Linked DNA regions of Arabidopsis thaliana. The protein of the gene in region 2 interacts with the protein of the main gene of each other region in a pairwise test. Each region holds a gene or a part of one and is shown on either strand. Other genes may lie near its edges.

Evidence for each region.
Region 1: the proteins of NHL3 (region 2) and CNGC19 interact in a protein complementation assay, tested with the Arabidopsis thaliana proteins (one large-scale study listed by BioGRID).
Region 3: the proteins of NHL3 (region 2) and CNGC6 interact in a protein complementation assay, tested with the Arabidopsis thaliana proteins (one large-scale study listed by BioGRID).
Region 4: the proteins of NHL3 (region 2) and PTR4 interact in a protein complementation assay, tested with the Arabidopsis thaliana proteins (one large-scale study listed by BioGRID).

The regions. Positions count from the first base shown.
Region 1 is NC_003074.8:6,043,211-6,049,068, reverse strand, and holds CNGC19 (cyclic nucleotide gated channel 19), read right to left. Parts: upstream 4,068-5,858; 5' UTR 3,688-4,067; coding exon 3,295-3,687; intron 3,205-3,294; coding exon 3,013-3,204; intron 2,942-3,012; coding exon 2,843-2,941; intron 2,766-2,842; coding exon 2,379-2,765; intron 2,290-2,378; coding exon 2,044-2,289; intron 1,955-2,043; coding exon 1,809-1,954; intron 1,736-1,808; coding exon 1,658-1,735; coding exon of another isoform or gene 1,636-1,657; exon of another isoform or gene 1,619-1,635; intron 1,579-1,618; coding exon 1,449-1,578; intron 1,339-1,448; coding exon 1,098-1,338; coding exon of another isoform or gene 1,081-1,097; exon of another isoform or gene 1,008-1,080; coding exon 730-1,007; 3' UTR 540-729; downstream 1-539. Other genes in the region: AT3G17680 (Kinase interacting (KIP1-like) family protein), read left to right, coding at 4,802-4,850, 4,907-5,858. UniProt on the Arabidopsis thaliana protein: Putative cyclic nucleotide-gated ion channel.
Region 2 is NC_003076.8:1,930,274-1,933,331, forward strand, and holds NHL3 (NDR1/HIN1-like 3), read right to left. Parts: upstream 1,496-3,058; 5' UTR 1,439-1,495; coding exon 743-1,438; 3' UTR 523-742; downstream 1-522. Other genes in the region: AtPOT1b (Nucleic acid-binding, OB-fold-like protein), read left to right, coding at 91-243, 319-522. UniProt on the Arabidopsis thaliana protein: Confers resistance to Pseudomonas syringae pv. tomato DC3000 (Pst DC3000).
Region 3 is NC_003071.7:10,200,600-10,207,452, forward strand, and holds CNGC6 (cyclic nucleotide-gated channel 6), read right to left. Parts: upstream 4,824-6,853; 5' UTR 4,802-4,823; exon of another isoform or gene 4,644-4,801; coding exon of another isoform or gene 4,526-4,643; exon of another isoform or gene 4,203-4,525; intron 3,959-4,202; 5' UTR 3,789-3,958; exon of another isoform or gene 3,442-3,788; 5' UTR 3,413-3,441; coding exon 3,342-3,412; exon of another isoform or gene 3,264-3,341; coding exon 2,678-3,263; intron 2,595-2,677; coding exon 1,999-2,594; intron 1,917-1,998; coding exon 1,805-1,916; intron 1,707-1,804; coding exon 1,470-1,706; intron 1,388-1,469; coding exon 677-1,387; 3' UTR 505-676; downstream 1-504. Other genes in the region: AT2G23970 (Class I glutamine amidotransferase-like superfamily protein), read left to right, coding at 1-288, 372-482; AT2G23987 (uncharacterized protein), read right to left, coding at 4,526-4,643, 4,852-4,875, 5,024-5,096, 5,516-5,660; AT2G23985 (uncharacterized protein), read left to right, coding at 4,884-4,902, 5,024-5,094, 5,505-5,684; ENODL11 (early nodulin-like protein 11), read right to left, coding at 6,236-6,675. UniProt on the Arabidopsis thaliana protein: Probable cyclic nucleotide-gated ion channel.
Region 4 is NC_003071.7:476,960-481,713, reverse strand, and holds PTR4 (Major facilitator superfamily protein), read right to left. Parts: upstream 2,738-4,754; 5' UTR 2,598-2,737; coding exon 2,541-2,597; intron 2,467-2,540; coding exon 2,364-2,466; intron 2,263-2,363; coding exon 2,045-2,262; intron 1,966-2,044; coding exon 1,479-1,965; intron 1,385-1,478; coding exon of another isoform or gene 1,356-1,384; coding exon 583-1,355; 3' UTR 529-582; downstream 1-528. Other genes in the region: AT2G02023 (uncharacterized protein), read left to right, coding at 1-247.

The DNA.
Region 1 (5,858 bases), on a different chromosome or scaffold from region 2:
GACCAAAATCACGGTTTCAAGAAGACCCTAGAAGGCTAGAATCTAGGCATAAAGGGAAAATTTGAGGCGGAGAAGGAAGTTGAAGCAGAGAGTTTTAGTAATTTTGATAAGAAGAAGAAGAAATAAGAAAGGAGATGATGACCAAGTCAGGGGTCTTCTTCTTCGTAGCCCAGGTCAAGGAAGTGTATTATTGTAAATAAAACTCATGTCTGGAAAAGTCAAACACTGACTTTTATTACATTGTTTATTATTTCGTGTCCGTGAGGCTTCTCTCTCCTCTGTGTTTTTAACATTTATTTCCTTTTGAATATTCACGAATTCGAAAATTCCTTTATTTGATTACCAACTGTAACTAATTAATTGGCCCTAATTATTGGAGGCAAAATGTCATTAACTACATGGCTGTTTCCGTTTCTTTGTCTTAATTAACTTCTTACAGTAAAGAAGTACCGAAAAGGCAAAAATCATTCATTATCCAGGCTTGATTAATTATTAATTTAAGATCAATTAGAATGGGCCGAAATTATGAGCCCAAGTTACTCAAGCCGAGTGACCTGAAGTAAAATTATACCGTATGATTGGAAAAACAGCAAAAAGATACTTAAGAAACACTAATGAGTGAATTGATTACAACGAATGAATCATCGATTCATCTTTTATAGTGAATCACTAAGCTTTATACTTCAAAATAAAATTACTAATCTACCAAACCAAACATCATCATCAAATTTAACGGTTGGAATTGGAGTGAGCAGTGTTTAATCTCTGGAGTTGTCTCTTTCGGTATCTCCAAGCCACTTGGATCTGCATAGCTGCTCGTAACCTCCAATAAGGAGACTCGTACCTTATAGCTCCTTGCACTCGATGGCTTCTTAAGAATCTTGAAAACAAGCTTGTTACATCTTCAAGATCTGCTACACTCAGCGAAAACGCCTCCACGTTTGTCACACACCTAACATTTCTGTTGCTAACCAATCCCTTTGGTGGCATCTTTATCCTCGTCCCATCTGCAAGTTTCAAAACGTATTCAGCTCCAAAGTTCCAAGTTTCTAACCAAAAAACATTAAGAGTTATGAACACTCAAATGTTATTAGTACCGGGGTTTATAGAAGAGAGGCACCAAGTGAGAAGTTCTTCACCACAAACGTCTCCTTCTGATAAAGGAAGAACAGAACCGTCTTCTCCAATGCTCTCCATCTCACCTCTCACTATGAATACCATTTTCTCTACTAGACCTCTGTGATGCAACACCGTGCTACTCCTTATGTAAGTCCTCTGTTTCAGCCTCTCTCTGATTGAATCTAAAACTGATTCATCCATCAACGAAAATATTCTCACCTGCAAACTCATTAACACTTGGATTCAGAACTAGCTTTTTGCAACACTGTGGAGTCTGAGTACACAAAATGAATACTGACTAATGCTGTCATGAGGCTGTTGCTTATTACCTTCTTGAGAAATTTGAAGAGGTGTCTTCTTATATCTCTTTGAAGGTCATCAGGCATGTTCTCAAATAGCAATTCTTCGTTAACTCCTCTTGTCGCAGCCCAAGTGTACCGCTCAACCTCTCTCACCCTCCTGAAAAAGTTGAACAGTTGATTAGTTATGAATATCACATTACACAGCCTGAGAAAATCAAATGCCACAGTGCACAGACTTTCTTATATCTTCTGGCAAACGTCTATGGCTCATCCACTGCTCCACATCACGCTTTCTCAGCATCATTTCCATCCTCCTAAAACAGAACATGCATTAGCCAAGAAATTCACCATCCCTTTTCAGAACATTGTTGATGAAATGTGATTTACCTTCGATCAAGTGATTGAAGGAAGTTGTGCATGTTACCGATAAGCCGCGCAAAAAGCAAAAGCCCTAGTCCAATGATACCCATTGTAAAGAAAACCTCACCCACTGAGTAACTTGGGGATAAGTTTCCAGCAAGTGTGCTTATTTGCTTTCAGAGTTGAAAACATTTCAACATTAGTTAAAGAGTGATTCAAAGACTAATAGCTGCAACATCAACCAAACCTGAAATGAACTTACTTGGAATCCCCAATACAGAGAATAACTGAATCTTGTGAAGAAACTAGATTCATTGGTAAGATTCACTGCCTTCAAATAGATCCCATAGGTATAACCATTTTCTTGAAAACAAGCATTGACACTAGCATTATCTCTCCACAGATCTCGTTGTGACTTCGATGCATAACTTCCACGAGCACAATCGATAAGATTTCTACGTTCATCCGCAGAAATATTCCAAGCATTCAGCATGCATTTCTTAACTCTCTGAAAAAAGCAATACAACAAAAACAATCTTTAAATCACTTGATAGATATGAAGAGAATCTTTAAAGACACTGATCTTCTACTATATACCTGCAGAGCAGAGAGATACCAGCAAGAGCCAACAGCGTGACCAGCAAGCATGAAGGTGAGAAGATTAATAACAAAATTAGCCCAAGCTGACTCAAATATGAAGCCAGTAGATGTTTGTCCAGCAAGAAGAGGTAAGAGTCTATATAACTTTGGAATGTATTGAAAAAGAACCGTAGCGCGTAAAATCTGTTTCTCAGATTCTTCCCTGCGTGTGCCTAAGTGTAATGGTATTATCCTTAATATCATTATCTGTGGAATGGGAAAGACTATGAACATGTCAAGGAGAAACTTTCCTCGGAAGTAATGGCGAGCAATTTTTCTTGGATGATCAACTAACTGGCCGGCACCAACTATTCTAGACTCAGGAGCTACATAGGCCAACCTAAACTGCAACACATAAGACCAAAGAAGCGTTAAAGCCAATGAATTTCCTTAGATATGAGATAGGAGCAATGGAGACACACCTGAAGCAGAATGTTAATGAAGAATATAAGATCCGTTATACTTCTAAGAGACACCAATACTTTAGTCGCACGCCAATCAATCGCTATGCATTTGTTGTCCTGCAGTATCAAACTCATGAAAACGTATACAGTCAAGAAGGAGATTGATAGAGCAAGAGAAGGAGACATACTTGTTGGATCAATAAGAGGAAAAAGAAGAGAGGGTCTATAAAAATGGCCACTAAGCTTGAAAAGGCTAAGACTCTAGTCCAGACTTGAACAAATTTGGAATGAGGATTCATTATTCCGGGTAAGCATCTACGAACAGAGGAGGCAAATCGCTTAGCCCAACCTCTAGCATCACCATACAGAACAGTGCGAAACTAAACAAGACAAAAGAAAGTAAAATACTCTTGTGTCAGCTGCTATGTATAATGTTTACTTGAGTCTCAAGGTAAGTAGAAATATCATACCCTAGAGGCAGAAACTCTGGAAGTGTGCAATTGAGCAGCTTGGCGGTTGTAGTAAGAAGGGCAAGTAGTGCAGTAAGGATCATTGCACATCCCTAATTGTCCAGATCTCAAGAGATTTGCGTTTTTGAAGACGAAATCATCTTCAGGTGGAACATCAACGGTAGAAGAGGAATCAGGAGATTCTTGAGGAGAAGGAGAGAAGAGAGGTTCTGTTCTGCGAGTAGAGTGAATAGGACCACTCATTTGCACTAAAGGAGGTCTTATTCTCTGGGTTCGAAGAGGACCCGTGTAGCCTAAAGTCACAGTTGAGTTGTCAAATCCGTCAATGGAGAAAGATGGGTTTGAGAGAGAAACGCTACGGTTTCTGGAAGTGAAAGTCCTAGTGTGAGCCATTTTTTATTTCAGAAACCCAAAATCTAGGGCATGTAGGAGAAGAAAAAAAAGCAAAATGATGACAGAGAGAAGAAGAAAGAAGGAGACGAAGACAGAGACTTGGGTTTCGTTTTGTATCCCGTCAAGCAAATGTGGACGACACTTTATAAGGAAAAGAATGGAAAAAAAAAAACATGAACTACATCGAACTTTGCAGGAAATTTAAGAAAAGAAATGTTACATTTTAGATCTTGTGTTGAACCCATCAACGAAGCTTCCAAAGGAATAGAAAACCTCAGTAGTAAGTAAAGCAAAAAAGTTGGAAGAGAGAAAACCTCAAGAAGCTGCCTCTTGTGTTACTTTGAAAACTTTATCCAAGAGCTTTGTCCATTGTGTATTTTATTTAGTGCATATTTCCAAATAAGAATGATGATTTCTGAGCATTAGTGAAAAAGAATAAACTGGAATTCTCACCAAACACACAGTTCAGGTTTTTTTTTTTTATATGCAATTGTCTCATATGATAAAATAATTAAGAGTGTGAATAAAGAGATCCGCGTTTATGGAAAAAGACGATGAAATAAATATTATTTTCTAAAACGCACATTTTTATTTATTTATGAAAACATTATTCGATGACATAACTTTATGAACTCTTCTGGATATATAAAATTGTCATTTACCACCAACCAATATGCTCTCTCCCTCTTTTTGCTTTCTAAATTTGATGTCAGAATCTCAAAAACCTAAAGGCTTTGAGTTATTAAGCCCAACAAACAATGGGCCGCAACTACCAAACCCAAGTACTAAAGCCACGTGTTAAAATATGAGTGGAACAAAATCAAATGCTTGTAACTTTGGCGGATTTTGCCTGTTATATGCTCTGCACTGATACAACTGAACAAACGTGTCAGCTATCTTCTCTCTCTCACTATTTCTGGGTTTGTATCTTTCTTCTCCCCACTCCGATCCTTCATTAATCTCGATGATCTAAAATATCCCTTTCTTAACATTTATTATCTTCTTGGAAAAGCCATCAATGTCTTCATCATCTATGCCATTATTCCCATTTTCCCTTTATAATTTTATATACGAATCACTAACTAAAACAAGTATATCTTTCAGGTTGAAGAAGATGAAGAACAAAGCATCCATGGAAGCTCCACAGTTGCCATCTCTCTCTGGTACTTTCATTTTCCATTTTCAAATTTCTTCTCACTCTCTCTCTCTCTTTTTGGAGCTTTTTCACATTTTCAAATTTTCAAATCACAAAGCATGCTACAGAAACAGTGGACCCCCTTTTTCTCTCTCTCTCTTGCTCTGTTTGTCTTTCTCTCTCATCACTTCTTGTCTGAAAAAATGTTGGAAACAGACCTTGAAGCTCGGATGCAAATCCTGCGTGAGTCTGGTTTTCAAGAAAGCCAAGGAGATGATGATACCTTTGCTCAACGAGCTGAATGGTTTTACCAGGGACGACCTTTGCTTCTCTCACTTTGTCTGGACCTGTACAACGGCTACGTCACTCTCTTGGGTCGTTCTTCTCATCAGACCAGACTTAAACCCACTACTTCTCTTCCGAACCAGCTTCTCCAAGATGATGATGACTGCATTTCGGACATTGATTCCGTTAGTGAGGTCAGTTCTGAAGTTGAGAGCACCTTATCCTTTCAACAGATGAAAGATCCTACTGCGGTTTCTGAGAAAGTCGATGAGCTTGTATCCCAACTTGTGACAGCAAGCTTGGACAAAGAGATTCTGAAACACGAGTTACTTCACAAGGACCAACAGTTTCATGAAGCCTCCAAGACTATAGAGCTGTTGAAGAAGTTTGTCATGTTGCTGGAGATGGAGAAAGAAGTGGCTGTGGAGGAAAACGCTAATCTTGGCTACAAACTCACTTCTCTCTTGGAGGAGAACAGAGAGCTAGCCACTGAGGCATTGTTCATGAAGAACGAAGCTGTTGGGCTTGCTAGGTGTGTGCTTAAGATGAGAGATGACCACTTTCACAAGGTCTGCATTCTCCAGAACCGCATCTACTCGCTTCAGGCATCTAGGAACTCAGAGCCCGTCTCTGATAAGGTCTCATACGGATGCTTTGGCCTGGATAAGCATAAGACCAAAAAGAAGAAGGAGAACAAAACCGAAGAGAAGAAGCCTGGATTCAAGTGGTTGAAGAAACTGAACACCATTAA
Region 2 (3,058 bases):
TCCAAAAACCTTGGATTTATCATAAGTTGTAGGAAAAGAGTATAGTGAAAACTTTCTTGAATTGATGTTTTACTGATGCTTATTATGCAGGTGACTGCTAAATTCAGGTGTGTTGTTCGGTTCATACAAGTGTATCCCCGAGACGTCAGAAAACTCCGTGATATCAACGGAAATATCAAATTGGTAGCTATACTAGAAGATGCAACCGCCAGAATCCATGCTTCTCTATATGCTGATGAAGGGGTAAGTAAAACACGATTAATTATTAGTGTTCATTGAAGGATTGTCTAATACTTATATCTGTATATCTTTTTACAGGAAAAGTTTTTCGGGTGTGACGAATCTGATGAAGAGGCTCTAGTCAAGAAGCTGAATAGATTGTTGGGAGGTGAAGAGATGGAGAAAGTGCCAAGAAATCCTCCATGGGTACAATGTTGCTTGTTCTCATTCTACAAACACAAAATGGATCAGTGGGAAAGCAGAAGATTCCGCATTTTTGATACTTGGATCAATGCTTCATGAGACAATCATAATGCTAATTGTATAGTTATTAGCATTAAACAAAATGTGATTATTTATTTACATGGAACCATACAATAAAACATTACATAAGAAAAATATCTCTCTCCAACGATATGTATGGAAGATAATAAAGCAAAACAATCTAAAATAAGAATCAATAAACAAGTGTAATATGATGAACTCGAAGAAGACTATAATAGCATTGACTCTTGACTAGCAATCAAAAGTCAACGTCACACTTGGTCGGCTGAAAAACAAACCCGCTGGTTGAATTAGAGGTAAGAGGAACCTTGAGATCGCACTTGATCTTGGGCTTGAACCTCCACGACTTGATCAACCCAAACTTAAACCTAATCTTAAGTCTCAGCTTGGCATCGATCCTATAGATCTGAGAATTCACATCCTCGTTCAAATCCTTCCTCTCTCCGCCGTCAAGCAGCACCAATTGCTGTCCCACGAGTTTAGTTCCAACCACCGTCGTGTTCTTATGTCCCTGGTAAAACTTCGAGATGTTGTTACTCATACCGAATCGCTGATCACCGTAGTATCCTCTGACTTCGATTTCATCATAGTAAACACCGATCCGGCGGTTAGGGTTACGGATTGTGAAATTGAGATCGAGATTGTATCGGAGGTTGTTGGTTGGGTCGAGTGTGAATTCGGTGAGTTTAGCGTCGGTGACGTGGAATTTGATAGCGTTGGGTCTGAAAATGAGCCAGATGATTAGAGCAGCTATGCCTAATAAGACGGCTATGGTTATGAGGATGTTGAAGATGACGCTTAAGATACAGCAGCCGCAGCAGCCAAGACAGTCACCTAAACAACCGCATCCACCGCCGCGTCTGCCGTGGCTGTGAGAGACTTTCTTCGGCGGTGGAATCGATGGTCCGTAATACGCACCGTTTAAGTCCGCCATCTGTTCGTTAAAATGCCTCAGAGAACGATTTTGAAAGAAAGTTTTTTTTGGTTTGTGATAAGATTTTGAAAAAGTAAATATGATTTGAAGTGAAGAAGAAGAGGCCGTAATATATATACACTGTAGAGATAACGTGTATTAGATAAAACGATTTAATTTGACGCGGTTTTGTTTTTTCAAAGTCAAAGGTGACGCGTCGGTTTAATATTGTTCGATGAAAATTTGATTTAAGTAGAGGTTACTTGCGAGATTGTTATTAGATATTTAGGATTAACAGTTTGATATACATTAAAGATTGTTTCTTAAATTTTACTATATGGTTTCTTCTTCAATTTGACTATGTATACTTTGGTTAAGCTTAATGAGATTATTTCTTGAATCCATATATACATGATTTGGTGATTAATGAGGTTAGTGCCGATCGCATACAAGAATATCCATATGTAGATATTTATTTATATATTCTTTTATTATATAAGACATGTGAGAATGTGATGATACTTAGTGCGGTAGTTAGTTTGTGAATTGTGAATAGTCATTTTTACAATGTAACTAAGCTTCCGAGAAACTTCCCCAAAAGCGACTGCTCTAATATAGCCATTGTTTCTTAAACTTGACGAAAGACTTTTGAGAACAAAAATAGAAAATGTGGCCAAAATATCAATAAGCCTATACAAAGTTAGAAAAAGACAAACCAGTCCCGGTCAAGAATTTCGACATTATATATATAACATGATGAAATGAAATAACTTTGATCTATAGGTTGCAAGTTGAAACTGAGGTGGGGTTTTCCAAATGTTTATTTTATAACTATGAGAACAGTTCTACTGATAAAGGTTATTTAATTAATTATCAATTAATGAAAATGTTTAATGTGAAAGATTTCTCAAATTCAAAGAAAATTAAACATTGCAAAGACTTGTTAATGTTATAATGCTAAAAGCAAGGAAAACTAAGGGAGGTTGGTGTTTAGAGTTGGATGATGTGACCTGTAATTGAAAGGAAGATTAGGTGAAGCCATGCTTTCAAATGTTTACATCTTTCTTCAATGAGAAAGGTCAAGCATATTTAATAAAGAATAATAATACTAGATCGCAACTCAATCATATTAAACTTTAAAACAACTATGGAGGATTTATAAAAACAAATGTAACAACTAAAAAAAGTATTCTTATAATATGAGATGTAATGTGTTTTATTTATTTATTAAAGTAGTCAATGTAGTTTAAGAAATTTTTATGTGTTATACGGTATAACAATAATTTTCATTGTATATGATAAGTAATACACAATAATTTTAAAGAAAAACCTGGTGATGAACAAACGTGTTTGAAAAACTTGTTAGAGTTTAATGCGGTGTCAATGTGTGTGGTGATAAAACATTAAACTAAATTAGACAACAAATATTTCACGAAGACTCCTTCAATCTTAGCCGTTTGGACGAAATAGATCATTGGAATTGGACAAATAAATGATGAAGACTTTGGTTGTTCTTAGGGTTTTGAAAATGGAGGAACCGACGACCGATCCCTATCTACTCAATTCCGATATTCATCCGAATAAATTATTGAGAAATTGCGTTGAATAGATGTCCACTAAAGTTTAAATGGACATATATCT
Region 3 (6,853 bases), on a different chromosome or scaffold from region 2:
AGAGGTTTGGATATGGGACTAAGAAGCATAACAATGGTTACAGACGCGGTGAAGCCAGGTGGTTACTTTGGAAGCCAGATTCCGAAATCACTAGCCATTATAAAATGCCATCAAGATGAAGTTCTTGAACTCCCTGAATCAGCCACATTGCTTGCTTATTCAGACAAATACAACGTTGAGATGTGTTCGTATGGAAACCACTTGCTAGGCATCCAAGGCCATCCTGAGTACAACAAAGAGATTCTTTTCGAGATCATTGATCGTGTCGTCAATTTGAAGTTGATGGAGGTTTGCTTCTTATATCTTTATTCCATCGTCTTTAGTGTTACTTGTTGGAAGCTTTCTTGATGTTTCTTTGTTTGTTTTCTCAGCAAGATTTTGCGGATAAGGCGAAGGCAACGATGGAAAACGCGGAACCAGATCGGAAGCAATGGCAGACTCTCTGCAAAAACTTTCTCAAAGGAAGATCCGAGCAAGTTTAAACAATGAACAAAACCTGTAGAATTGGTTTGAAAATCTTAAAAAACATTTCTATGTAATAACAAGATTAAGAACGATCACAAATAATCATTTATATTACAGTAAGTGTTTAAACAACAACAAAAAAATTTGGAGCATTCTTAGAGATTGTGTACAAGTTAAAAAGAAAAAGAATTCTTGCGTATGCGATATTGGATCAGTGATCTTCAGCAGAGAAATCTGGTTCTGGAGGTTTCTGAAATTTCACCAATTCTTTAGTAGATGACAACAACAATGTTGATTTCGCGGTCCGGTTCTTGTGAACGCTACGAAGTGCATTTGCCGCAAACTTTGAAGCCAAGAACGTTGCTCTTATGCTATAAGGACTTCCTCCTGCTATAACTGATGCTGCTGCCGCTTCTTCTTCTTCCTCTTCTTTTCTAAGTTGCTCCAATTTCTTCCTCTTTATGTACCGTCGCCATGCTGCTTGCATGAAGCAAGCGGCCCAAGTCCTCCATTGCTGTGAATAGAATCTGAACGTGTGTTGTACTTGTCTGCTATGGAGTCTCCTGAACTGGCTTGCCACGAATTTCAGCTCATCGGCTATCAGAGCGAAAGCTTCCACTTCGGTTAAGGCCTTCACGGTTCTTGTAGAGGAAGGGAGGTTAGAACCGGATTTGGGATCAAGCGCCCATGTCAAAAGCTCGTCACCGCAGAAATCTCCTTCTTTAAGTAAACTCCGGTTGTAGAATCCGCTTCTACCGCCATCAGTGGTTACACTTTCGAGCCTACCACGGATAATGAAGAGCATCTCGTTGACTGGATCTCCCTCACGAACCAAGTACGACTTCTCAGTGAACAGACATGGCTTAAGCCTCTCACAGATTGCATCTAACAGCCTCTCATCCATATTCTCAAACAATGGAACCTTTGCCATAGGAAAAAGAAAACGGATTTAAAAAGACTTTTACGAAGATGTTAAATCGAGTGAATTACGAAAAGAAACTTACTCTTCGGACTAACGCGAGACAGAGATGACGTTTGATATCTCTTCTAAGATCCTTTGGGAGATTCTGAACAAGATTCTCTTCATCAACTCCACGCGTCTCCAACCACTTGTACTGGTCATATCGTCTAACCCGTTCCCGCAGTTCTGGTGGAAGCATTCGATGATGCATCCACTGTTCTGAGTCACGTCTTTTTACTCGCATTTCTTCTAACCGAATGGTAAGCGATTGAAGATAAGTCTGTCAAGAATTTATCAAAAACATCACATCGTTTTTCATACTCACTAGCGATAACAAGTGTATAAACACAAAAAACACTAACAAGGTCCCTTATTTACCTGCATGTTTCCAATGAGAAGTGCAAATAGTAGAAGTCCAGCAATAGCAAGTGTTATAGAGAATATAACCTCTCCAGGATATGTGCTGGTTTCAAGCCCTTGACCAAGTGTACTGCAAAAGGATTATCGAGGTTACTAATACGAAAGAGACTCATCGCATTGACAATATAACAAAATAAAATCCTTTGTATTACCTAAGATTCTGTAGTCCCCACCACAAACAGAAGAAGTACTTAGAGACAAAGTTCTTAGACGAGACGATGCCAGAGGAGAGTGCTCTTAAGTAGATTCCAAAATCAAAAGGAGGTTCTTCATCTTCGGGGACATTGACAGGGCACTTTAGTTGAAGATACGAAACTTTAATATTGTCCCAAGCAGCATAACCTTTCATATTTTGGTTACCACAAAACAAGAAGTTTCTAGTACAGTTCTGGTTATTGTGGCAAGCCTTACTCCAACAGTCGTTATTGCGTTCTAAAGCAAGCAAATACCACAAAGCCCCAACAATCTGCATACACATGAACTTATGAGAACATAAAAACGGATACAGTATGGTACAAGAAAATTGGATGCTAACATGACTTGCGAGCATGTAAAGCAACAAGTAGTACGCTGCACCCGCCCACGCAGTTTCAGCGAATACCCCGGCAGTTCTCTTCAGTTCTGAACTTAAAGGATACATTCGAAGAAACCGCGGAATATACTGAACTAAAACGATATATCTAAGTGCTTGTTTTGTCGCCAGTACATTCGCACCCCTCGAAGTATAGAGGAATCTCCAAACTATAATCTGAATAAAATAGACAAAAATGAATATCAACCAACAAAATCTTGAAATGTAGAGATGTTTGATGTCACATTCTGTTGTTATACCTGTGGAACCGGAAGAACAGAAAGTAAATCAATGATGAAATACTGTTGCAGATACCGCTTAGCTATCTGCGCCGGGTCTATAACAAGCTCTCCGCGGCCAAAAACCCGTGACGAGGGAGCAACATAAGCTGTTCTAAACCGTAGAGCCATATGAAAGAGATAAAACGAATCTATAACTGTCCTTATTGTAGTTACTATAATAGCCAGTTTCCGATCTATACCAACACATTTCGCTTTATCATTAATGAAAGGAAGATACAAGAAGAGAGGATCAACGGATACTGCGAGTATACACGAAGCGACGAACAACTTGTTGCAGAGTAAAAGAAACTTGTCTTGTGGATCAAATATCTTCTTCTCTGATACTTCAAGATCTTCTGGAAACACAGCGCGCGAAACACCGAGTCCAATCGATCGACCTATAGACCAAAGCCCCTCTGATCCTTTTCTAAACCCTTTCTTAAAAGATCCAGATGATGCTTTGCTTCCTTGAGCAAAACGTTTAGGTCCTCCTTGTATATTCAATGTGCATTTGTTTAGACCCGTTTCGGAACTTTGCGAGTACCTTGAGTCCATACTATCTAACCTATTTGAATTCAGGAATACTCAAAAAGCTTAATACTATTCATACAATTTCATGAGATTCAAAAATTGTTATATATACCTCACAAAGTTCTCGCGTTGGCCACTGATGACTTGAGATTTGACTCCTTTTGGGCCACAAGTATCGAACATACTCTTTTAACTCATGAATCCTAAAAAAACTGCTTTTGAGACAAATTATCATCAAGAAGAGAATCACTAGCGAACCCTTTTCAGCTATAATTTTAGGAGTTACCTAATTGGAACTAAGGAGGAGTTTTTCTTTTTTTGCAAATCAAAGCGATTGGGTTCTGAAATTAGGTTACTTGAGCTAATTTATCATTTCACCAGATTCATAAAAGATGATAAATTTAAAACCCAGAAACAAAAATCGAAACTTTAGCTACACAAAACGAACCAAACTCATTTCTAAGATAGCCTAAATCGAATCCAAAGTCAAACAATTGCAAACTCTAATCAAGCTCAGCGACTGAGATCAGGAGGAACATGAAGAAGAAGAAGAACTTACAGTTACAGTCGAATCTGACGGCGAAGAAGAAACGGAAGAAGAAGAGCACAAATTGTTAAAAAACGGGCAGAGAAGAAAGTGAAGGTGTCTTCTTCTGTCTTGTGTCCAAAAAATTGACTTTCTTCTTCTTGCTGTCCGAGTCGGGTCCCACCCGCTTCCTGTGCTGTCTCCTTTTAAATCATTACATGTAAGAAATATAGGGATATACTACAAACTATAATTTTCACTGCTTCTATATTTTACTTTGATTCAATATCTACTACTTAAAAAAATAAATTATATGTATAATTAGGTTGTCCCACGCCATGCATGGAATTAAATAATTTGTTTACGTATCAAAATGTTATATTATGGTTCTTTGTCCACAAAAAAAATGTGATACTATGGTTGATAATAGATGCTATAAGAGAGCATCTCCAACGCAGGGTTTTAATGCAATATTTGTTGGGCTCTCTTGATAATTTGAATTACAAATAAATCAAAATTGAATTAAACTGAGAGAGGCGTTTCTCTGAAGAGAGTTTTTGAGGGAACGAGAGAGGCGACAGGTGTCGCTAATTGATTTGTTGTGAAGTTTTAACAAAACAAAAAAAAAGTAGCGTTTCATTTTTTTGTTCGAAAGAGATAATCACTTTCTTTCTCTGTCTCTCTCTCTCGTGATAATGAAACCGGCGGTGAACTCTTGATTTCCGATTAGTTGACGCCGTGATTGTGTGTAATTGTGTTATCTGAGGCTTCTAGACGCCGGATTCATCAAAACGAAAGACGGTGAAGACCATCGGCGGAAGAGAAACCCAATCGGAGAATAGCAAATCTGATTTGGAGAGTAATCGTTGCCGAAGTCTCCAAATTAGGTATGAATCAAGCCATTCTTGCTTGTATATCGTGATTACATGTTGTATTTGGTGGTTTAATCTTTCAATTCAACATAAGATAAAAATTCAGGTAAAACAATTGTAAAACCAATGTTGAATATTGAATTTAAGATTGATGAATACTGGTTTTGACTCTACCTGTTTGTTTTTTCCGAACTTGGTTTTGCGGATCTGACATTTCCCGTAGTGTCTTGTTCAGGTGAACAAAAAAGGTACCCAGATGCTCTCAGGTTTACTTGGTATTGGAGTTCATGAGAATATTCTTTGGCCAGAATTCTTAGTTTTTGTTTTTTGCTTTGTATTTATTCAGTTGGCTTATAACTGTGAATAATTTAATAGAATTACGCTTATGCTCTGCAGATATATACTTTCAAGTAAAGGAAAATGAAGACATAATGCAGACTGTTGTTGCCTCGGATAATAATTATGTGGTATGTTGTCTTTTCAGGTATATTATCTTATTACATCATGAACCTTTGTAGATCATTCATTAAAAACTGGATGCATTAAGTCATTTTAAGCCTAGCTTTCTTCTGGAACGGTAGCTAAAGCTGCTTTCTTATTACTCTTGCTTTTTCTTTTTTTTTGGCTAATCTTCCAATATTCTGAATCTAAAGCGTACATAAGCATGCTTCAATAGTAGTCATGTAGGTTGGTGCCACTGCTTTATATATATATATATATATATCCTTGTGTATATGTCTATGTGTTTCTTTAGTTTAAATGATTCTGCTGCATGGTGTAGTCTTTACAGTTGCTATTGTTGTTTTCTCTATTCATTTGAAAAGAGATAAAGATGTGATAAGTTACATAAGTAATAGTCGGTTTTGATACAATGGAGATGATCAAGGTCCAAGGACATGGAGCTGAGCATTCCATCTCGTATTGGTTTTGGAAATTGAAGAAATCGAAGATGGTGAAAGTAAAGTCGAGGATGGAAACAAGGGCGATGAGGATGAAGGAGAAGACACAAGTTATTGAAAACAAGATCATTCATTTTTTTTTCAGAGAACTCTTTTAAGAAAACTTTAACAAAAAGTAAAACACAAAGCTCTCTTGTTAATTTTTTGGAAATTTAATCATAAAAAAATGGAGAGAGTCCTTGGAGAGGCTCTCTCCACTGGAGGTGCTCTGATACTCTTATTATATTTAACATTCGTTTTATTCCAATAACTCTAACCTACATGAGCTGTAATCTGTAGATATAATCCGAATTCTGAAAATGAAGAAAGCTACGTGAATCAATAAATGTACTCCGATTAATGTATTCTGCAAGAGTCAAGACAAGTGAAGGATTTCACCTTGAAATCAAAACATTCATCACCCAATTGAATAAATAATGAGACATCAATATAAAATATTTAGGTACCAAGAAGATTTGACATTGCTAGGAAACTAATTTTTTTTTATATTTGTAGAATAAATTGTTGACAGAAACAAAAGAATTGTAAATTAAATTATAAGTAATGTCAGATATGACATATTGTAAATTCAGATAATAATTATTCTGCAAAACATAGATTTTGGATGCATAACATGAAATTTAAACTTCAAGAACTTTTGTTAAAAGCCTTAAGCGAAAGCAAGCCCAATGACAGCAACAAGAGTCGAGGCCCAAAAGATGCCATTTCCAGCAACCAACCCAACAGCACTGCTCTTGGCCGGAGCTGGCGCCGGAGCCATCGTAGAAGTAGATGACTTTGGAGAAGGAGTGGGTGGAGCTGGGGCTGGAGCAGCCGGAGTAGTAGATGGCTTTGGAGGAAGAGTGGGCGTAACAGCGGCTGGTCCTGGCTTTGGGTGGTTAGGTGACTGAACCACGACAGTCACTTTCTCACCTTTAGCACAGTTACCACTCGGAGCTCCACTTATGAAGTAGTAAGGCCCTGAGACGTCGAGTTTCACTGTTGTGTATCCGTCTTTGTGTTCTTCCAAAGGCTTCTGTGTGTTGCATTTTTCGTAGTTTTCTTTTGTTACTTGTAACACCGAATCGATCTTTGAATCGTATTTAAACACTGTCACATGCAAAAACAATCCTTAGCTTACTATCTTATGCATTCGTATATATGAAAAAATAATTATATATCTTAAATGTGTTTTAAGTTCCTTGAATATATCTAAATGATTTGGATTATTGACATATCAAATAACCAAACCCAACTCAAGACTTCTGATATTCAAACCAGAAGCCTT
Region 4 (4,754 bases), on a different chromosome or scaffold from region 2:
CTCTGGTGCGCTTCCTAGTGAACCGTTGCAAGAGGTTTTAGCCGAAGATCAAATGAGGCTCGTAGCGACTCTTCCTCACAACTGGTGCTTCGGTCGACGAATATGGGTTCCGGGAATATTATGTCTTCGAAGATTTGACAAATTGGCGCAAGAGAAAATGAAAACTAATGGATTGAATCCGTTAGTGAGTCTTGTAAAAGGAAAATCCATAGTCATTAACCGGTGCAGAGCGTTTCAAAAAGCATGATTCAGAACCATTTCGAGCAACTTACCAAATTCTTCGTTTTATTAAAGTAATGCAGAAAGCATTTAGGAGTTTCATCTATAAGATGTTAGCTTTTTGCGAGTGTATGATGAGAGGACTTAACAGATTTATTTTGTTGCCTGTAAGGCTTCCGTTTCGAAAGCAGGGTCACTTACACTTCTTCATCAAAATTGTGTTCAATTTCCTTTATTTGTTTCAATAGTTATATTTGAATGGTTGTTGTATGTATCATGTAAACCGTTATGATTTAATATAACTGATTTGCTGGTTTAAAAAAAAACAATTTTGAAAGTACACACAAGAGCCAGAAGAAGAGATCAAACCTTCATATGAGTATATTTCACAGAGAAGAAGACAAAAACAGGTATGTTAACAGATCCAAGACTGACCAAAAGCCAGAAGAAGTAATCAAGATGTCCATTGTTAATGTTGTCTGAAGGAATCCAACAATCTTTTCCGCTCAAATACGCCACAAGGGTAATGATCAACGAGCTCAAGTAGTTTCCTAGTGTAGTAGTGAGAAGAGCCCAAGCACTACACAAGCTTCTCATTGAATCTGGAGATTGCTCATAGAAAAACTCAATCCTCCCAACAAAGAAGAAAACTCCAGCAGTGCCCATTAAAAAGTACTGAGGGATTTGCCAAAAGATGTTTAATGGAACAATGTCTCCACTTTCCACTAGATCAAGATCTCTAGCTAACTGTAACCGAACCGTCTCAACGATAGCTGCAAATGTCAAGCTCAAAACAGAGACAAAAAGACCAATCCCCATTCTTTGTAGCTCGGTGAATCCTTTAGCTAAGCCTGTGAACCGTCTCACTAAGGGAACGATGACGCGGTCATAGATTGGGACAGATATGAGAACACTTGCAGTGTCGAACATCCCGAGAGTTGCGGGAGGGATTTCGAATAAGCCGATGGTTCGTTTCATGCACCGTCCTTGTTGAACAAAGAGAGTGTAAATCTGTGAATGGAGAACTGAGAAGATGATTCCTGAGGCCCAAATGGGGACCAAACGTAACAGAATCTTAACTTCTTCGACTTGAGTCACGGTACATAGCTTCCACGGGTTAGTGTTTGCATCTCCTTCTGATATAATTGCCGCTTTGTCAAGAAACCTGTACATTGATATCACAACCCGTTTATTTAACCGTTAATAGACTAATGCTCAATTCAAACAAGAAATGAGAGGGAAAAAGATTTTCTTGTAACCGTCCGTGGAGTCTTCAGGGACCTTGAGATTCGATTTACGGTATGCGGCTACAAGAACTTGGCAGACGCTAGTAATCGGGCTACCTCTCGGTTTCTGAAATCTATAAAGCGGCGTGCCAAAGAAGAAACTCATAGTAGCAAGTCCCATGAACACGGTAGGTATCAAGAATCCTAATTCCCATCCATAATTCTCTTGAATCCAAACTAGAACAGTAGATGAAACAAAAGCACCAATGTTGATAGTGAAGTAAAACCAGTTAAAGAAAGAAGCTTTTCTGACTCGTTCGCTTGGATCGGTCTTATCAAACTGATCAGCACCAAAGGATGAGACACATGGTTTGATTCCTCCAGTGCCAAGAGCGATAAGGTAAAGCCCTGAAAATAAAACCGTAGACTGAACCATTGTTGCTGGTGGACATAGAGAGCCAATGCATTCCGCTGGCTTAAGACCCGGAACTGAAGCTGAGAGTGTCAATGCAACCATTCCCTTAAAACAACATCAAAGAACAGAACATCAAGCCAAGAACAGAACATAAAGCAAAGTTATTTTTCAAGAAAATGCTTACGGTGAAATAAATGGCAGAGAAACAAGCAATAGTCCAATATCTTCCCCAGTAAGCATCAGCTATTAAAGCTCCAATAAGAGGAGTGATGTAACATGTTCCTTGCCATGTCATGACGTGTCTAGCAGCAGAAACATTAGTCTCATGCAATTCATTTGTGAAGTACGTGATGAGATTCTTGGCAATTCCATAATAAGCCAACCGTTCGCAGCATTCGTTTGCTGCACCAACCAAAGCATAGATATCAGTTTTTGGAGATTAAAGACAGAACATGAGAGAATACAACAAGTACATTACAAGTGAAATAAAACAAAGTGTTTACCAAAAATGAATGGACAAGCTTTCCAGTTTCCTGTTGTCTGCTTCAATGGTGGGTTTCCATGAATATCTATTGAACCATCTTCAGCATATAATTTTACTTCTTCCTGGAGAAAAACGAATTAGTCAACAAAGATTTAGACCCCAAAACACTAAAGAAACAATGACAATGAGGTTGAACCTGTATAAGAGATTCTTCAACTTCAAGAAGTGACCTTTCTTCATCAATGGAAGCCATTTTTTACTTTCTCCTCAACATGACAATTTTCACGTAAAGCTGATTTAAGCTTCTCAACGAAGGATCAAATAAAATGATCCTCCCACTGACCAAGTTGTTGTTGGTGGTGTGAGTGGTCACTCACCACAGAACCACATTCTTTAAAAAATGTTATAAAAAAAAAGAGGGAATATAAAACCACACAAACTTTATTAATCTGATTAGACTTAAGCATTAAGCAAATTTTGAGCCATAGCACACTTTTCCCCTAACACAACAAAAGTTATCAAACAAGTTAGAGACTTCAAGTTTTAAAGAAGACATCAAACAAATCTTACGAAACCTTTCTAGCCAAACCGGTAAATTAACAAAGCCAAGACAGACCAAAAGCCAAAAATAGTAATCAAGATGACCGTTACTAAGGTTCATTGTCGTGAAATATGCAACAAGTGTAAGAATCAATGAGCCGAGTGAAGAGTCCAAGCACTACACAAATTTTGCATCTAGAGATTGTTCATAGAAAAAATCAAGCCGACTAAGAAAGAACAAAACGCTAGATGTTCCCAATAAAGATATATTGAGGGATATGCCAAAAAATGCTCATTGGAACAGTGTTACCACTATCAACCAGATCGTTGGATTACTCTTGTCTCTCTCGAAGTCGAGAAGTTGGTGGCGGTGACCACTGGACCATAAAATGTGTTCTTGTTAACAACACGTTTTAAGAAATTGCAAAATTGAGTGGACCTATTGGGCTTTAAATATTAGTGGGTTTCCTAATTTGTACTTGTTGGGCCAATTTTATGACCTCCACAACTTGGATATAAAATATTTGGTAAGGAATTAAGTAAATAAATACTATTTTATTTTTTGAAGCACCAAATGCAATTTATGGTGTTAATAAAGTTTTATGATAATAATTAATTAATGCAAAATAAAAATAGTTTTGGGGTAAATTGATTTTTTTTTTTTGGGAGACCAACAGTCTTCAACCTCAAAAACGAGAAGCTCTAGTAAATCATGATCGTTTTGTAATTTATTGGTTTACCAATTGATTTTAGTGATATAGTTTTCGAACCGCTTAAATGATTAATAAATAAATAAATTAAATTATGGATTGGTGATTTTGTCTCTAAATAAAAATGTTGAATATGAAAGGAATAGTTTTGAATTGTCCTTAATAATTTAACGTTGAACTATTGAATAGTCAATAATTCGGTCGCTAATAGTTGACTAGTACAAACAAAACCGAACAGAGCATGTATTAATTGGCCATTTCAAAATTCGTGTTGCAATAATTAAGGAAAGTCAGAACTTTAGAGAAGTAAACCGGTGGCGGTTACCCATAATTGCCGGTTCGGCGAGTGGCGTCTCGGTCTCCATTTGCCGGTTCCCATTGACTAACGCGTTAGAGAGTGACTGATGGGTCGACTTTTGACTTTTACTATTTTTCTTCTTTTGTTTCTTACTGCCAGTTATGCCCCATTCCCTGCCTCTTAATTACGTATGAGTGCCACTCACAAATATTTTTATTTCTGAAAATCATTTGGGGGAGACAAAAAAAAACAAGATATAACAAACCTGTTGTTTTACTTTTGTTACTGACAAGTCCTTCAGTCAAAAAATAAAAACAAGATAGATAAAGAAAATGAAAACTGTATTTAATAATATCCTGAATAGTCAAAATAGAATTGTCTATAAAATCTGATTTTTTAAAAAATATAAACATATATGATGAAGTATTCTTGTTTCATGTATCCATTCGAAAATATAAGTAAATCCTATGTACAATTGAAAAAAAAAAAAAAAAGGTAATCTAGAAACAATGCTGATCAAGCTGTAGTATTCAACGTAATTAACCCAAGCTAGGGCTAGTGGATTCTAGTTTTCAACAAAATTAACCCAAGCTAGGGCTATTCTAAAGCTAGTCTAAACATGTGGGAGGTTTGATAAATCGCCTAACTTTATTTGTTTAATTAGGTCAGACCATGGGTTTGATGTTTATTTGAATTTTTATACTTTAGAGATGGTAATATGAGATCTTACAACAAAAAGTCAATGTCCTTTAGTGGTGATACCAATATAAGTTCGAATTTGGTTTCTAGCTTATTGGTATAAATTCCATTGACAGCAAAAAGGAATCACGAAAACAATATAATCTAGTACTATATTCACATT